Coturnix japonica: one gene and its partner. The protein of the gene in region 1 interacts with the protein of each later gene in a biochemical or structural test. Links are inferred from orthologs where the notes say so. Each region holds a gene or a part of one and is shown in the gene's direction. Other genes may lie near its edges. The genes, in order: NFE2L2 and ENC1.

Region 1 (9,803 bases):
CTTCTGTTACCAGGGTGTCCTCGTTTAACACACAGGGGCTGCGAAAGTAATGCGACTGCTTTATGGCTTTCTGGGAACAAGTAGGGCAACTCCCTAAAGTGCAGTTAACAACGATTAACTCTTAACAGCATCAGAAACACCAGCCCTGCTGCTGAAACTCAAACAAGGATTATGATAGAATCAAGCGGTCCTTGGGACTGTTAGACACAAGTCTTCTGCCAGTCACACATGCAGTTTTGTTGCATCTCCTGCCTCCTTATGTCCTCCTGCTGCCACTAGTGACACTGCCAGCAGCAAGCTGTTTGCCTGTGAAGCTCCCAGGCTGCTCACAGCCCAGCTGTCTCATCCTACCAACTACCAAACTGCTGCTCCTGTTCTCCTGTAGGCTCCTCCAGGACATGGCTCACTGTACATTGCCATATATTGGGAATACCAGTGCTGTGTTGCAAAGACATACCGTACTTTGAACTGTGGGGATATGATAGATGTTTAGCGTACAACAGGTATGGTTGTTCAGACTCATTTCATTTTTCATGTGTTCATTGGGAAAATAAGTAAACTTCAGCACATTCCGGACGTTTACAGTTGTACTCTGCAAAAACCTTCAAGTAGCAGTGAAGAGAGAATTATAGATGATGTATGAAGAAATTTAGCACCCCAAAAGTAGTGGTTTTGATCCAGAATCAGGTAAATTGATAAAGAGCGTACAAATAATACAAGTAGCTTTTCAGTGAAAGAGATAGCCCCAGACTGCATTAATCAGACAATAAAATGATGGGAAACTCTCCTTCCTCTCCCCCAGCAACCAGAAGTGAGTTTGCACAGGACACAGCAAGGCAAAAGAGCGGTGTAATTTTGAGCTCCATATAAGAATCTGGAAGGGCAGAAGGTTAAGTCATTTTCTTTACAATTTCAGCCTTAAATATTCATTTCCATCCACAGCCCTATCAAAAAGACAAAGATAAATGAGAAAGTTCTGAAAAAAAAACAGGAAAATAATCAGTGGCTGGAGGGCCACATTTGTTCAGAAATACACACATATGTTTAACTTGTCCAGATCTTTAAGGGTGATTAAGGGGAACTCATCATGGATAATTTCTGGAAGAGTATATATTGCAAGTTAAAAAAAAAGTTCACCAGGTCACAGGCTGCCAGAGATCCTTCTGAATAGCCACCAAATCACCCTTATAACAAACCCCAAAACAATGCATAAAAATAAGAGTTGCATTTACACTCTGAGAATCAAGCTTAGTTTTCATTTCCTCAAAAACTCTCTGTCAAAGATTAACCTTCCTATCTTTACCATGTGCTTAAGATAGGGACACACTCACACAGGCAAAGTGCTGAGGATCACAATGACTGCTCAACATTAGTCGCTATCAAAACAGTCTTCATTCATACCCAGATCCATGTGTTACACTGTCCACATAGCACACTAACAGGCAAGATTAGGAATGAGGCTAATGGGTGGGAGGACTGTGTACATAATAGTATGTCTTGGTCAGGACAAAAAGATGCAACTTAAACAAAATTAAAACTATCTGCGCTGTGATTTGAGTTTGTACCTTTCTTTGAAAAAGATGCAGAACATTTTCAGCCTAAGTTTCTGGGATACCCTATGCATTGCTTCTAATTATTTACTCTAGTTGTTCATATTTAGGAATGAAATCCTATCACTTCTCTTATTACCATAGTTCCAGGGAATAAGATCATAATTAATACTTAAAGACTGGGACACAGGAAAATGTTATAGGTATATGGATGCTACTCCAACGATATTATCGGGATAGGATTTCCTTCAAGAAGTGAAGAAAGAGGTACTTCAGGCTGTACATTAACTTCATCTAACTTTTACATGGTAAGAGTTAAGGAAGACAAACTCCAGCCATCATGGCTGAGGACATACCAGCTCCTCCTGCCAACAACCAAGCAGCAATCCATGGTCCATCATACAGCTTTGCAAAGTAAGAAGGGAATGGAGTGTGCACCTTGTATGCTGATTCCAGCATCCTTCGTTTATGTCTTCTTAAAACCTCTCTGTAAAACAGAGGACATTTCCCTATTATTAAGTTAAAAATGAATTATGCTTCAGCATTTTTCTAGTATCATCGGGGTACTCATTTTAAAATAGAAGTCTTTGTTAAAAATCTAACATCAAAACTTCTATGTAGCACAAAGTCCCACATCCTGAGAGTCATTTCTCATTATAGACTCAGTCAAAATAGATGAGTTGATTCAAAGCTTATAAGTTCAGCATTACTGAAATTCACTCAGCAAATGAGGATGTGTTCCCAGCATTTTTCAGATGTTTGGAAGATTAAGTGCCAACTTGTTTTTCTTTGTTGCTCAAACTAGTCAGGTTTTAAAATACATATTCTCAGCAGTAGGTGGCACTATGAAGTCTCTAGCTTCATAATTATTCTAATATGAGATAATATAAAATGTTATGCAGAGACATTAGAAATAACTTCATCAAAATGTTAATAGACCATTAACTAAAAACATGGCCCAATCTCTCCTTTTTCCTATCATTTTAAAAGGAGCATAAAAACACTGGTCTGCCCGAGCTCAAGGTGTGAAGATAAGGAGAAAAGAAATTAAGCAAGGAACACAAATGAAATATATAGTCAACAGTCTTTATCTAGCCTGGCCAGAAAGTGCCCTTTTTCTTTTTTCACCCCAGGCTCCAAGCAAGCTGCTTAGCTTTGCACAGAATTTCTGCACTGTGATACAATCTACACCAATACCTAAGATTCCTGTGTGCTTTTATTTTCCTTCCTATTAAGTAAAGTGTATAGAAAATACACCTTCGTGGCTTCAGGGCAATTTTTCAGGGACTGACATTGTGCATTACTCATTTTGTGCTAATGTGTTCTATCTTCTGCTCGCTATTTCTTCTATAACACAGAAAAGAAAAAAACCATAAGACATCACTAGCATGGGGTCTTGAGCTGGGAGCAGCTCTACTCAAGAGTTTTAAACTGTGACACCAATTTCTGTTGTAGAGTTTTGTCCATTCAAAGTCTTCAGGATACAGCCAAAGTAATGCAAAACACACCAAAACATAGCTTTTGACTCTGGTTTCTCACTGCACATTATTTACTGTTATCTTGTATTACCCCTAAACTGGAACTAAGGATATGGTATTGTAAGAGCTACTTAAAATAGCTCACTCGTTCACACAGGCACTATATGTTCTGCTTGGATCTCCCTCCTTAAGATATTTAGTGGCTCTGTGGATGCAATTTAACTTACAATGTAAGCCAAGTGCTTCCATAGTATCTCATGCAGTTATCAAACAAGCATTTTACAAATCTACTCAGATTGTGTGTTCTTTCTATGGATTTCATACAACTAGAGCAAGCACCTTCTACATTTTTGGGCAGACACCCACTTTCAACAGGTGGATACAAATAAAATTTTATAATTACTCTGGATTTATCAAATTTATATACTTATGCTTTTTGCTAAGCCATGCCCTTGTACCTTGTGAACAGCTTATACTACCACTAGTGTGCAATAGCAAATTGAACACAGCTCAAACAATGTGAATTCTCCATGTATTCCACATGGTTTTGTTGTGATTTTCATCTTTTTTTTTTTGTGCCAGGGGTGGATTCATTGTTTGACCAGATGTAGGCAACACCCAGCAAACACTACATGAAATATACCTGGATGAATAGCCACACTAAAGCACAAGCCAGGGAATATAAGAGTGAAGAGAATCATAGAATGCCTTAGGTTGGAAAATTCCTGCCAAATCACCCAGTTCAAACCCCTGGCCATGGGCTGAGTTGCCAACTACCAGATCAGGGCCCAGAGCCCCATCCAACCTGGCCTTGAACACCTCCAGGGATGGGGCACCAGCACCTCACGGCCCTCTCAGTAAATAATTTCCTCCAAACACCTGACTGAAATCTCTCCTTTTTTAATTTAAAGGCATTCCTATTTTTCTTATCGCTATCAGATAACGTTAAACGTTAGTCCCTCTCATGCCTAAGGGCTCGCTTTAAGTGCAAGAAAGCCACTAGCAATCGAGTTTTCTTCTAAGGCAGCGCCGTGCCAGCAGAACATCTGACCGAGGAGCATTGCCATCCCATAGGACGGGCACTGCCATGACATCTCCCAAAGCATCACGTGAGATTCGGGTCTGTAAGTCAGCCGGCTGAGACACGCACGCCAACTATTTCGACACCCGTAGTATTAACGGGGGTTACAGTGCAAGAAACCACAGGTACCAGGGAATTACAGTACCCTGGGATGAGAGCCTGATGTAATAGGAAAGCACGTGTGGAGGACGCAACCAGAAAGAGCCTGGAAAGGTGCCTTTAGTGTCAATGTAGCAGACTGCCAGTGGCTCGTAGCCGTGTTTCGGGACCGGACTAATAACGTAGAACACGAAAAGAAGGTGAAACCACACACCTGGGGAACGTACCGAGGCACGGACAGAACAGCCGGCCGAGAGCACTGCTGACAGAACAGCCGGCCGAGAGCACTGCTGACAGAACAGCCGGCCGTGAGCAGTGCTGACAGAACAACCGGCCGTGAACAGTGCTGACAGAACAGCCGGCCGAGAGCAGTGCTGACAGAACAACCGGCCGCTCGCGGTGCCCGGCGCCGTGGGAGGGTCGCGTTCCCGGCACCGCCGCCACTGCCGGGAAAGGAGCCGCCTCCGCGGGCACCGCTGAGTGGCTGCGCCGAGTCGGGGCGGAGCGCGGCGGTCGCCGCTGGCTCGGCCCGGGCCGGGCCGGGCCGTCCCCGTCCCCAAACAGCGGCGGAACGAGAGCGCGGGCGGTGCCGGCCGAGCCGCCACAGCTCCACAGCTCCACGCCGCCGTTCCCGAGTCCGCGCCGCCGCCCCGCGCCATGGAGATCGAGCTGCCGCCCGCCGCACAGGTGAGGGCGCCGCGGGCACCGGGCGGGAACCGGGGCTGCGCGCCCCCGGCTCCCCCTCCCTCTTGTCCCGGCCGTTGGGGCGGGGCGGGCCGGGCGGTCACGAGGCCGGCGGGGCACGTGGTGCCGCCCCGCCCCGGGGGCAGCGCTGAGTCACGGCGGGGGCCGGGCCCCGCCCCCTCGGTACTTTCCCCGTCTCCCGGGCGGGGGGTGCTTCCCTGCCCGCTGCGCAGTTCGGGGCCAGGTCAGTCCGTGGCGAGGGGGGAGCTCGGCCCGGCCCGGCCCCGCCCCGAATACTTGTCCGGTTCCTTCTTGAGGGCCTCCCGCTGTCACGCGGCCTCAGTGGGGGCAGTTGCACAACCGCGTGTTGCCCGTGTCGGGTCGTGGGGTGCGGGGCGAGAAGGGCGCGGGGAGGGTGTGATTCTGTGAGGGGCCGTGGGGGCCGCGATGGAAGGGACCCCGCATCACTTCAGCGTCCTCCTCGGTGTGGGCCGGGGCGACTCTTGTGTCTCCTCCTGTGGGGCCACCTGTCCGCGTTGTGCTGCTCGAGCCCCACAGCCGCGGGTTGTGTCAGATCTGTACTGTAAAGGCGCTGTGTCTTTAGGTAGCTAATGGATTATCTTTTATTGGTTAAATGGAATGCTGGATGGGATTCATTTGGGATGTTGTCTATTACTAATGACACAGGTATCAAAACTGCTGAGGAAAAACGCTCTGGAACGTGAGTCAAAGTGTTTCAAGTCAAGTTCACAAAAGCATTATGTACCCATAATTGTTTACTGCTTCAGTAAGCTGAAAGGTGCTGAAATGGCTGGGCCTGGTGCTTCTAGCCTTGTCAGACAACATGACAAACTCATCAGCTCTCACTAAGCACTGAGCCTTGTGAGAAGGTGAGCAAGATTACTTTCTCATGTAGTGTTTGCACTGAACACTAAAAGTGAAGGCCAGTGTAACCATGTACTTGAGTATCTGCTCAGTGCGTGGGTTTTTCTACCTAGAAAAGAGTTTCTAGTTACATTAGAGGTATCTCTTTAGTCTGTAGGGCTTTACACAGGTATCACATGTCTGTTTTTGTGACGTACTACATAAGGTTGTCTAGTGAATGTCTGTTCCATAATGGGCTGTTCTTTCCATACGACACCGATCATGCAGGAAGTGACAAATGAGTGCACCGCTCAGGCCTGACAACAGGCCTTTGATGTGTTTTTTAGCTCAATAACTGTTAAGCATAAGTGTCTGTAGATAGATTAAGATATCTGTATGGATACCTATTTGTCCATCTATATATGTGGATACGTTTCGGTATCAGAAAACATCTATGTTTTTTGTTGGTCTCTCAGAAGGAACTGAAGGCTGAAGGAGCTGGGTGGTTCAGTGTGGAGAAGGGGAGGCTGAGGGGAGGTCTCACTGCTCCGTACAGCCGCCTGAAAGGTGGTTGCAGTGATAAAGGTGCTGGTCTTCTCTATCAGGTGACAAGAGATAGGATGTGAGGAAACTGCCTCAAGTGGCACTGAAGGAGGCTTAGATTGAATATCAAGAGCATGGAAGGGGTGGTTAGGCATTGGAACAAGCTGCTTGGGGAGGCAGTAGAGTTGCCATTGCTGGAGTTATTTAACAGACCTGTGGATGTGGTTTGGCAATGGACTTTGTGATGTTAGGTGAATGGTTGGACTTGGTCTTAGAGCAATCTTAATGATTCCATGACTCCTAAAATTACAGAGAAGAGTGGTGGAAGTAATAAGAATACTACAAGCACTGTCTTAAGTAGAAATGCATTTTTTAGACCCTTTTAATTCTGATGTGCCTACCCTGCTTATCATGCTGCACTGAAAAATCTTTCCTCAGAACTTCAGAATATCTCTCAGTTAAACCAGTGGTAGATACAATGCAGTGCAGTACCTGTGGCTGAAAGAAATGTAGACTAATAAAAGATGACCATGAGAATCCTTTCAATGCAACAGCTAATTGGATATTTTATTATTGTAGTACATATCTATCGTATGGACGCTGTTCTGTATTTTGTATTTAAAATGTGCTGGGAATTTACATTGCATGAGAAGTTGTTTGAAATACAAGGAGTTGGTTGCATTTGAAAATGGGACTTGAAGAAGCTTGCGGTTAGAACTCAAAGTAGGAGAGCACTTTGGCTTTGGAAGTTGGGGTTTTTGTTTTTGGTTGTTTTTTTGTTTGTTTGGTTTTTTTTTTTTTTTTGGAAAAATATGTGGAAGAGACCAAACTGGGACAAAATAGAACATTCAGTATAAGCAGAGAGCAGCTGGATCATCTCGTGCTTTAAAGAACTTGAGACATTTTTATAGGAGTGTGTGGGTGGTTGGGAAGCTTTGTGTATGTTTCCCACCAGAGTTCATGAGCTAGAATAAAATTTGGCTCTCTGTCCATTACTTTTTTCTTTCTTAAACCGAAAAAAGCAAAGAGAGTATAGCACTTATCCTAAATGACAATACAGAAGGTTATGTATCACCATGACAGCCAAGATCACTGTTAAAATTATCAGATTATTATTAGCTATTCTTGCCCCTGAATACTTCAGTTCTTATAGGTTTTTTCCTCTTTGTCTTGAATTTGCAGAGCGAAATGCTGTGTGCTCCTTTCATGATCCTGGCTGAAATTAATATAGCAATGGCACGTTGAGCATTCTTTAATATTGAAGAAGTCTCTGATACTTCTGTTTAGTATGCTGGAGTTCATGAGATCACCAGAAGTGGAAGGGGCTAAATAAGTTATCTGTTCTTCCATTTCCCCTGTCAAGTCTTTCATATATTTTTTCCTTTTGGTAGTTGCCGAATTTTGTTAGATCTGGTCCTCCAGAAGAAACAACAAACCCCAAAACAGCAAAACCTGCCACAGTTTGTTGCTGGAAAATGTTTAGAATCCATTGAGTTTTTCTAAAGGAGAATGAAAAAGCATTGACTGCATGTCCAGGAAAAGGTCAGTTTACATGAGGCAGAAGGAAAGAATTTCTATCTTTTATAGACTTTCTATACAAAGTCCAGATGAGAAGAGTAGATGACACCAGCTGAGCCCATGCTTTTAAAGCCAGGTGTGTCCTTCATTGAAAAGAAGGAACTTTTTTATTTTCTATCTAGAACATTGCTTATTTCTTTTTTCTAGGAAATTAATAAAGATAAGCTGTAAGATGACTAAACCATTCATGAAAATTAGGCTAATTTGTGAGAGTGTGATGTATTTGCAGTAATTGTGCTGGCTGAGGTTAGTGCAGAACAAGTCCAGGCAGGAACCTGTTGGCATGAATTAAATATTAATCCTCTGCTACTGTGTTTGAATTCCAGCCAGGCAAAAAGCCCTCCAGAGTCCCCAGGTTAATCACCTAGTTAAAGTTTGTTTTGGCTTCCGTCTCATTCCAACCCTAAGTAATCCATTATTCTAATAAAATACATTCCTAGTGAACTTAAAGCAGTTTCAGGTGTGTTCAGTTTTCTGCTACGGGGCATTATATCCAAGCAGGACTTTGTGCCACAGAATTCGATCTCAGGTGAAAGGAAGAGAATACAACGCAGGGGTCAGCTAAATTCTTTTCTGTGCTAATCTAGTTTAACTGGTTTGGGGAACAATTCATCTGCCATTACGCAAGTCTTTTTACATAAACCAATGAAAAGTCTGGTAGGAGTAGTTGGAAGTCATGACTTTAAGGCTGTTTTATCCAAAGATGACTGATATACAGCAGTAAACTGAAATTCGTTCTGGGTTGCTCAACAGTAATGGCTTTATGGTGTATTTGTTTGTTAAGGTAAACTATTAAAGCATCCATTAAGAAATGAAGCCAGCAAAATTATCAGTAGTGTATAAAACTGCTAAAACACGAAAGCTTTATTTGAAATAGATGCAGGTGAGCCATAGGATCATGGAATGGTTTGGGTAAGAAGGGAAAATTTCAGTTCATCCAATTCCAGCCTGATTCCAGAGGCAGGGACACCTCCCACCAGCCCAGGCTGCCCAAAGCTCCATCCCTCTCAGCCTTGAGCACTGCCAGGAATGGGACATCCACAGCTCCCCTGGGTGTGTAATTCAAGTAAAGATAGTAAAGTCTCTCAGAACCAGAATTGGCACTGTTAATTGAAATAAGCATTAATTTGGTTATCTGAGAAATGTGTAAGGCGTGGTAAGGGTAAAAAATATATATATTTAATTATTTGAATCCTTTGGAAAAGAGGATTTCTCTTCATTTTGTGGAGCCTCTTCTATTTCCCATCTTCAGCCTTTTTTGGTAAAATACTTGCTCAGTTCTCTCTGGCCAATGCTGACTTTTGTATGGACGTGCTACGTGTCTGTACATGGATTTTGTGTCTGACCGCTAATTTCTACTGTAATGTTCACTTTTAAAGGGTTAATTCAAGTATTTTGATGCACTGATCATGGAGATGTTGGAAAGCTTATAAGGGTTAATAACTGCGTTAATAACTCATAGTATATGGTATAGTTAGTGTTTTTTGTCAGCTCTATTGGTAATCCCCAGAGCAAGTACTGGTTGGCAACGCTGTAGTAAAATGGGTTTAACTTTAAAAAAACAAAAGACTCTTTTCTCTCCCCCCTTCAAAAAAAACCAAACCTTAAATGGGTACGTTTTATATATCTGGTTGAAGTTTTACATTAGCTCGGTTCGGATTTCTGACTTTGACCTGATTACCTGCAGCTTTGATACTGAGGAGAAGGATTATAAAATAATGTTTATTTTTAGTTCAGGAATTGTAAAAGCACTGTGACTGTAAATGCTTCTCATCTTTCCAGTTAAAGTAGTTTCAAGGACTATTTTTTTGTTGTTGTTGCTGTTACTTTACTGAGATAGTTGAGACCTCCCACCCTTATAATTGTCCTGTGCAGTATTAAGACTTTTAATGTAAGTTCTGTGGTATTATTATGAGCAATGAAATT
Region 2 (9,803 bases), on another chromosome or scaffold:
AATATTATTATTATTTTTAATTAGCACATAGTGCTGGAACAGTGAGAATTCTGGACTAGATGCAACAGTAAGGCTTTTCCAAGGGATTCTCCTGAGGATTAAGAAACCATTGGTGAAAATTTTTCTCATTCCAAACATTACACACATCTGTAATGTTATTTTAAAGCCACATTAGCCCCTTGATTAATGAAAATCTTTTGTGCAGAACAAACTCAGCTTTACGTAGAAACCAAGGCCTATCATTTCCTTTCTCTTGCATACTGTGTGATGTTATAGCTCACTGACTTCAGATGTGCCGGTGTTCATATACTTTGCAAGATGTGAGGGACTCAACAGTCATTTGTCATAGCAAGACAGAACAAATGTTTCAGAAGGTAGCAGTTCTGTGCCACTTACCCAAAGATTTGCCCCTTAGCACTGCTGCTGGTTTCCAGGGTGCACTGGATGTGATCTGCCATGCCATGCAAGAATGACATCTAAGGGCGATTCTGGCTGAATGTAATCCTTTAGAAAAATTAACACTTGCAGAGGTGAGGAGAGCAAGGCAAAGAAGGACTTACACCCACCCAAAAAAAAAGAATGGAAAAGCTGGTGTAATTGTTGCTAAGAACTGTTCAGTGTTGACCTCCTGTCAGTAGCTTCAGACAGCCCTGGTGCACATTAGGTCACACTGGGCTGTATTGACTGAACCTCTGTTTTCAGGCCCATCTGGAGAAGCTCATCAAAGAGAAATGATAAGGAAAGCAGGTGTGGGTCACTGAGGGGTGCTCCTGGCCTCATCCTCTGGAGAGATTGCTGGCACTGGTACTGCTATTGTACAGTGTTAATTAGATCATCCTAATTAATTCATTCGAAGTGTAAATTAAGAAGGAATGAAGATAAATTACACTAATACATTTAACCCCATGCTGTTTATTTAGCAGTGGAACAAAATAATGTGGTTAAAAGAGTCTAACAAGGCAAATGCCCAAGACACAGCTGTTTAATAGCATTAAAAATGAGATCTCAGCCTGTGCTGCGGGCACATACAGCTGATTTGCATTTAAAAGGGTTGCCAAGATAGCTGTACTGGCAAACCCTACTAATGTAGATGCAAGTGATACCAACAAAACAACACAAAATAAATAAACAACCAAAAAAAGTATTTCAATCTCTTGATTGTGGTAATCTGGACTGGCAAATGGATTATTTTGCTAGAACAGTTCTGTCTGTGTTAGAGCTCCTGCTGGTGTGGCTGGGGTAGTCTGGAGGGTGTTTCAGCTGCAGAGCCATGCCTGCAAAACTCTAAAGAGTCAAAAAGGCCATGTTATAATGTTTGCCATACATTCAGTGATCCAAGGACTTGTCTCAACACAGAAGCCAAACCAATTTAAATGATGCTGGGAGTTTAAATTCATGTAGTTATACCAGGAGTGCTTTTAAACATAGCAAGTTGGATTTGAGTTGAACAAAGAAGTTTTTGCTACCCCAATTGCACTGCAGTTAAATGTGGCACTTAGAGATCCAGAGGTGAAAATATACAGGGGTTTTGAATGCCTTCCATTTTCAAAGGCCGCACTTCCATTCCACATAGTTATCATTAAAGCTTATAATTAAAAAGAAAAAAATATATATATAAGCCCTGAGAGATTATCATTTTCACATGACTCCAGAAGCTGGGGCTTTGAGAAAAATGCTGATTATCTTGTGATTTGTGATAAAATCGTGATATTTAGCAATATTTCAAAGATCCTATCTATCCTGGTATATGAGTGCTAGGAGAAACATGTCCAAACTAGTTCAGTGGGCATGTTAAGCTATGTCCTGGGATAGGCTAGGCTAACTTTGTTTTCAGCAGTGTCAAAATACAGATTGGCCCATTTACAAAACTGGCTTAACCGGAACTGTGTTTAAATGTGACCTGGCTTAGACCAATGTAAACTGGGCCAAAGATTTGCTTTGGACCAGGTTAATTTGTTGAGTGTTTATCCCATGCTAACTAGGCAAGCACTTCAGTTATGAATGTGTTCTGAGCTGCATTTACAACCAGAGCTACCTGGTCCTAACACCTGTTCAGGAGGGACTAGAGGTGGTATGGATGCTCTTTGTCTCCTGAGCATGAAAAGTAGTTCCCATAAAGACATGCAAGAGATCCACTGCTGTGGTTTGTAGAGCTTCCAGTTGTGGAACTGACAGAAGACTACTGAGTTCATCTTTTCCTTCTCTCTCTTCTCCCACCAGTAGCACTGTTTCACACAGTGCATGTATGCTGCTACATGCACACAGAAGGGGCTGTCTGGCTCTATGGCTGTTTCTCCAACAGGAAACATGTTGCTTCATCCAATTATTCTGCCCTCATTAACCCCAGCAGATTCCTTGTTTTATGGAGGTCGCTCAGAGGATTACTGTCTCATTTCAGTCACCCAGAGCACTGCCCAAATATGCATGCCATAAGCAGCTGCATAAGCCTTACATATTGTCCTCTCTACAGAGTTTATTTTCCCCCCACCATTCTTCATCACTAGGAGCAAAAACAAACTCACATAAAAGGTGTGGCTGCTGAACTACAGCCTATCTAATACTGCCATCCCATTTCTGTTTTTCACTCCTGGTGATTGTTTTGCCTGTGTGGAGGGAGGAGAACAAACCTGACACTGTATGAAATTATGTGAACCCATGTTTTTAGTTGTAAGGGATGACAACACTAGACTGTGCAGAATGCACCATAATGGAATTTGTTCTACTAGGGCAGGATTTGGCTGGAATCTCTGACAGTTTTGTTGAAGGAAAAATGGGAGAAAGCAGGATCAGATCTTGTGGAACATGATAGGACAAAAGAAAAAACCCAGATTCATAACATGACAGCCCATGGTGCTAGAAACATCAGCCATGAATCCAGAATCCACTAGTGTTTCTTGACTGAAATGAGCACTAGATCAGGCTCTCGTGTCCATGAATACCCACTGTATAAGGTGATCCGCAGTTTCCAAGAGCTTCTCACACCTAGGCAGCATTGAAATACACTTTATTACATATAGATATGCAATATTTTTAATCTTGCAATCTACAGAATTTCATGTCATAATCAAACTATTGTAAACATACATACAAATGAAAGAGATTACTCTTTCACCTGCTCTTTGTCTAACTGAAATCACTGTGCTTTGCTGTTATCCCCAGGTTCTCCAGAGCTTCAGATGTGTCCTGCTGTACACTGAGCTCATGTTTATCTGCAGCGTTGGAGTGCAGCAACAGGAACACAAGTAACCATACGCATGTTAGTGAATTGCTTACAGGGGTGGGTTTTTTTTCTGACAGAAGAAACGGTGATGTTTCCTTATGAGGAACAAATGAACTGTGCAAACTGTTACATGCAGCTGTGAGCTGGTGGGGGTAAACTAATTGTTCATATCTTTCTTGAAGCATCTTTAGACTAACGCCATCGCTGCAAGTAGCAAAGAGTAAATCAGCAGCACAACGCCATTATGTAAACACTGCTGTTGTGTCTGTGTTTATTTTTCACATCAGCCTTTTGCACATGTGTGTTTTTCTCATACTTCGTTAACTAGTAAGTAACTAAAGCCGGGCGCAGTTTGGTGCAGCACCCCCCGCATTATCCGCGGGGCAGAGCCAGCAGCTGGTTACCTGCAGCTGGATACCGGCAGCTGGTTACCTGCAGCTGGACACCGGCAGCTGGACACCGGCAGCTGGATGCCGGCTTCTGCCCGCACCCGTGCGGCTATTCCTGTTCCCGCACAGCGGAGCGCGGCCACACGCTCAGCCCTAGAGGAGCGGCGCCGGGACACGCTGCACCTTCCCCGGAACGCGAACTCCTCTGACAGCAACGCTGCGCGGCGCAGCCCGCCGCCTGCCCGCCCCCTCCCCGTCCCTCCCCCGGGTGTCACCCATCCGCTTTGCATAGCCTCCCCGCCCCCAGCGCATATACCCCATCCCCGCGCCGCCGACGGGGCAGAGCTGCGGCCCGGCGGTGCCAGCAGCAGCTGATCTTTCTCTCGTCCTTCTCTCCTCCTTCCCCACCGCGGCCCGCCTCCTGCTGCCGGCACCACCTCCGTCGGCCGCCTCTCCGCACGGTCGCCTCTCCCCTCCCATGCTTGGAGGCCGAGGGACGCCCGCTCGGCAGCAGCCGCTGTAAGTCGGTGCCCTGCAAGCCGCGCCATGAGGGAGGTGGGAGATGGGAGGTGGGAGGGCAGCCGGGGTGCGTGCAGCCGGGCTGGGACGGGGAGGCTCTGCGCCCGCTGCGCCGCATCCGCTCTCGGCACCGCTCCGTCCCTTCCTCCTGTCCGCAGCGGGGAAGCGGTTGGTTGCCGGCACTGGGATCGGGTGCCTCCGGTATCGGCGGTCCTGCGGAGCGCCGGGTGCTGCTGCGGGGCTGCCGGGCTGCCTCGCCGGGCCGGGGCATCCATCGGCTGTGGCAGGAGCGGAGGAAGGACCGGCGCCGCGTTGCTGCCGGAGCTGGCAGCGGGGCTGCTCTGGAGCAGAAACTTTTCCACGTGGTTGTTGCTCTGTAAAGAAAAACAGATGCGCTTTGACTTCTCGCACTGTTTCTGCATCAGTTTGGGAAGAAAACCGTGAATTTTTATTTCAGAGTGGGGGGTTGTTAAGGCACACCGCGATGGAGTGAACTATAGGGAATTTAGAGCTGGGTTTCTTTGTCTGCGTGTGGTGAGCAGCGTTGCATTCCTCGCAGGAGCAGCGTGCTCTGCTTTCCATCTTACTGCAGGTCCTGGGGAGCCGCTAAGCTTGTGCTAGAGGAGTTCAGGCAGGATCAGGACTCGGCTCAGCGAGACCGACAGTATCGCCGCGGGGTTAGCAACTGAAAGCAGTATCAGTCAGATCAATGGGATGTGTGTCAGATTTCCTTTTCCCCAGCAGTTTCACTGATTCTGCGCTAAAGCTTCACCAGCCCCAAGTAATTACAGACCCGTATGAAAACGAGTCTATCATCTTGGCTGTGCTGGTAATTTGAAAATACTTAATTCTTCATTTGATTTTTAGGCTGTGACCTGCACGCTGCAGAGCTGCAAAGAAGTAGGGCAGGGAGTCTGTTGTTCAGTTTTAAAGTCGTGTTTACTACAGGGCTGCTGTGACGAGCAGCCTGTTGAAGTGTAATTATAAATCAAAGTCTTGGTTGAACCTCTGTTCCTAGATAAAATCTATATCTGTAATTTACTGACCGCTTCTTGTTTTTTACATACTAATACTATTATTTCTAAGGAAAAGCCGCCTGAAGGGAGTTGACTCATTTTATTCAAGATGAACATTTGCTCACTGACTGTAAATTACCTCCGCTGAAGTATTTGAGGCTTGCATAATTTCCAGCACCAAACGGAGAAATCAGAGATGTCATTTATACCATTTAACATTCTTGTATGATTCTGGATGGAGCTAATTGTCAGGAGCTGCAAAAAGATGCATTCACAGAAACACTGCTCGTTAGTGAATTATGATAATTGCTCTTAAGGGTTCATCCATGTGTGAGCTCATCTCAGCAAGCACGGAGGAGGAAAAGATACGTGTAGATATAAATCTTTGTTCTGTTTGGGGAAGTATGTTAACTTATCTTAAATGTGAACTGGCATACCTTGAATTCTTCTCAGTGGATGGCATTGTGATGATAGAGTGTTACCCGAACAGTTAAAGACCACTGCAAGTGCTCCATAAGAAATGGCTTTACTCACTGAGGGACCAAGTCTTCACCTTTAGTGGGGTGAAATGTGACTGCCTTACTGTAGCTGCATTTCTTATTTATTTATTTTTTTTAACAGCAGTGCTTCTTACTGGGGCTGTGGGTGGGCTTGGGCAGCATGCAGCAATCTGTTCCTCCCTTCCACAAGCGCTTTTAGCTCAGTACCCTCCAATGTCTGTGTAGTTGCCAGGTGAGTTTTTTTAGGTCTGTGTTTATTTTGTTGTGGTTGTGGTCTCATTCCAAGTGATCTTTGCTAGTGGTTCTTAGCGGACTGTAGGTGCTGAATGTTTGCAGCCTCTGATGTGAACTTTACCTGCCCTAATACTGAACCCTAAGTGCATAGTGAGAGGATTTCTGCATTGTATTTCCGGACGTACTGTGGAGATCTTGGCATGCCAGAGCTGTTTGTCTGCACCTTCCTTTGGCTGGGACAGGGAGCAGGGGGCATTGAACACCATCGTTGCATACTGGTGGCTCACAGTGAGTGTTCAGCTCCCATCCCACAGCCTGGCAAAGGAGGCCTTGCAGGTTTATTTCCTCAGTGTGAGGAAAGCTGAGCTGTAGAGATCCAGCCAGTGCTGTGTACTGCATTGTGATGGCATTTAAAAAGGTAAGATGCTTGGAAAAGTTATAAAAGCTTTTAGGGGATTCTTTGTTGGTGAATGGCTCTTCCCACCTGTCTCCCCACTGTTTGTGTATATATACTCTAAGCCATGACCCTTTCTGTAATCCTTCATTTCCAGCAGGTTTCAGCCTGAGAGTGTATGTGGTCAGTATAATCTTTTTGGTTGTAAATTAAGTTGGTAATTTTAGCCTGAGATTAGTGTTGAAGATCCTTGAATAGCATCAAAGTCAGACACCATTCTCCTTGCTAGCTAATAGAATTGTTTTAAAGGTAATTTCATTTTATCCTATGAAATAATTTGCATTGAGGAGATGTACCAGCCTCCTGAAGCTGCTCTGTATCTTGGTGCTTGGTATCAATTCATTCTGTAGGCTGGTGACAGGACCAGAGTTTTAAAACACCTTTCCAAACTTTTGTGTGTCAGGTACTCGGGTTGTGGCTCTGATGGGAAAGGATTCCTATGAGCTTTGAAGGATTTTGGACTGAGCACTCTACACTGAACTTTATTGCTTGCTCTTTTCAATCCCAGTTGAAAGGTACCAGGGAAGTCATTTTCCATATTAAAGAAAGTGGGTTATGGTAGTTTTGCACTAAGGTGCCTCTTTGTTTATTAATTCATGTTGGTTTGAAGGTGGGTTTGATTTATTATTAATTTTTCTTCCTCCCCTGCAACTGAAGTGAAAGGTGTGTCACAAACTTTTTGTTATATGTGACAAATTGATTGTTCTGCATGTTATTTAAGCAATGCAGAATAGTACTGGTTGTGCTGCACATGTGGCAGAGTGTGTATATCCTCCATTATGCATAAATAGGAAATTCTGAAGTCTGTTGTCCAAGTGAATCATGTATGGTTTTGATTTTGTTGAGGGTTCTGAACCTAGAAAAACAAGTGCATTCATTAAAGATTTTGTTTTTGGTTGTTTGTTTTTTTGAGGCTCTTGTGTCAGCTTGAAGCATGAAATGTGGGAATAGAGTTGTATGGTTGTGTACTGCTTAAACATGCTCAGGAATATGAAAATGTGCAAGTCTGTGAGAGAGGGAAGTACATCCACATGAAAAACCTCTGCAGGTGGCCCCAGGTCATGCTCTGACTTTGAGCACTAGGAGATTCCCAGGTAGGCTCTTGCCCTGATCCTTATTTGAAGGTGCAGTGAATGGGACTCTGCTTAAGAGAGTATCATAGCAATTAGGGAAGCCTGGTTCTCTTCTTTCTTCAAGCTTCCTCTGCAGTTTGGAGTGAGAAGAGAGGTTATAACAAGTAGCAGTCACAGCCATAGTCTGCAATGGGCTCTGTATGCTTCACCTATTCATTGCAATGTGTTTTTTCAGCCATTAGCTCTATATAACTCCCAGTATTCTACTCTTCCTGTGTACTCTGTGCTGTTTGGGCACAACTCTTAGTGAAATCTGGAATCTTACTCCAGTAATCATATGTAACCCTGCATATCATGGCAGATAACAGGAACATTCACCTGATAAGGACTGAGAAGCACTGTGCTTGTCAGGAATAGAACTGTATAGGATATATTCTTTTCATCTCAAAAGCAGCCAGTAGCAGTCGATGGCTTGTGCTCTGAGTACCTGGCTCTTGAAGTAGCCACAGTATGGTGATGCCTTGATGACTTCATCTGGCAGTGAAAACATCTTTCTGCTGACTCTGCCTGTTGTGTGTGCTGTATCACTGCAGCAGGCGGCCACTGGCAGAGTTCAAGATGTAATCTCTGAAATCCAATTGTAATATTATTATTATTTTTTTTTTTTTAAAGATTTTGCAAGTCTAAACTTATGATCCTTGTTAAGTTTTCCTTTTAAGGTTCCCCTTTTCATTCTCCGCTGTTGCATATGGAATTGTTGTAACAAAGCAAAGCTTCCTAATGGGATTAGTAGTTTTTTTGTTCATCATGCCGCTTTTGACATTCCTTAGGTATTCTGTCTGGTAGCTCTTCCTGCTATGATTCAGTACAGGAGAATGTTTCAAGCATGTGCATATGTACATATGTAATGAATCAGCTGGTCTAGATTGGGGAAGGGTGAGAAAATCAGCCCTGGTTCCTTTTCTTTCTCCTCTGACTTACTTGCTTACTGTAATGCTGTGGAAGTTGGAGATCAGGTTTCCCAAGACAAACCTGCTCTTGGGCAACAAATTTAGAGTATGTCATTTATGAAACTCATCTTGCAAAAAATAAACACATGCCAGAGGTACATGCAATTCTCTGTCCAGTCATCTACAAATTAAGCCTTTTTTTTTTTTTTTCCTCCCCCCATCTTATAGTGAATAAGATACACTTCTTGTAATGTAAAAAGAAAATGAATTAAACTCTCATTAATGTCATTAATATATATATTTTTTTTCTTTGTTTGTAGGTGTGGAAGAAGATGTCAGTCAGCATGCATGAAAATCGCAAATCTAGGGCCAGTACTGGCTCCATAAACATATACTTATTCCACAAGTCATCGTATGCTGATAGTGTTCTGACTCACCTGAACCTTCTGCGTCAGCAGCGTCTCTTTACAGACGTTCTTCTCCATGCTGGGAACAGGTCGTTCCCCTGCCACAGAGCTGTCCTGGCTGCCTGCAGCCGCTACTTTGAAGCAATGTTCAGTGGAGGACTGAAAGAGAGCCAGGACAGTGAAGTCAACTTCCATAACTCCATCCACCCAGAGGTCTTGGAGCTGCTTCTGGACTATGCGTATTCCTCCAGGGTTATCATCAATGAGGAGAACGCAGAATCGCTGCTCGAAGCTGGTGACATGCTGGAGTTCCAGGACATCAGGGATGCTTGTGCAGAGTTTCTGGAGAAAAACCTTCATCCTACCAACTGTCTTGGCATGCTGCTGCTGTCAGATGCTCACCAGTGCACCAAGCTTTATGAGCTCTCTTGGAGGATGTGCCTTAGCAACTTCCAGAGTATCAGTAAAAGTGAAGACTTCCTCCAGCTGCCGAAAGACATGGTAGTGCAGCTCCTTTCCAGTGAAGAATTAGAAACTGAGGATGAAAGGCTCGTGTATGAATCAGCTATCAACTGGGTCAACTATGACCTGAGTAAGCGTCACTGTTACCTGCCCGAGCTACTGCAGACGGTGAGACTGGCCCTCTTGCCAGCCATATACCTGATGGAGAATGTGGCAATGGAAGAACTTATCACCAAGCAAAGGAAAAGCAAAGAGATAGTAGAAGAATCGATACGATGCAAGTTAAAGATCCTGCAGAATGATGGAGTGGTCACTAGTTTGTGTGCCAGACCCCGCAAAACTGGCCATTCACTTTTTCTTCTGGGTGGCCAGACTTTCATGTGTGACAAGCTGTACCTTGTAGACCAAAAGGCAAAGGAGATCATTCCGAAGGCTGACATACCGAGTCCACGGAAAGAGTTCAGTGCTTGTGCCATAGGCTGCAAAGTCTATATCACTGGGGGACGAGGATCAGAAAACGGAGTCTCCAAAGATGTGTGGGTATATGACACCCTTCATGAGGAGTGGTCAAAAGCTGCT

The links.
Region 2: the proteins of NFE2L2 (region 1) and ENC1 form a complex in vitro, tested with the Homo sapiens proteins (2 studies listed by BioGRID). The link is inferred for Coturnix japonica from reciprocal best matches to the Homo sapiens genes NFE2L2 and ENC1.

What each region holds. Positions count from the first base shown.
Region 1 is NC_029522.1:14,049,516-14,059,318, forward strand, and holds the start of NFE2L2 (nuclear factor erythroid 2-related factor 2), read left to right. Parts: upstream 1-4,720; 5' UTR 4,721-4,865; coding exon 4,866-4,895; intron 4,896-5,018; exon of another isoform or gene 5,019-5,136; intron 5,137-9,803.
Region 2 is NC_029547.1:22,165,884-22,175,686, forward strand, and holds the start of ENC1 (ectoderm-neural cortex protein 1), read left to right. Parts: upstream 1-3,926; 5' UTR 3,927-4,128; intron 4,129-8,675; 5' UTR 8,676-8,687; coding exon 8,688-9,803. UniProt on the Homo sapiens protein: Actin-binding protein involved in the regulation of neuronal process formation and in differentiation of neural crest cells.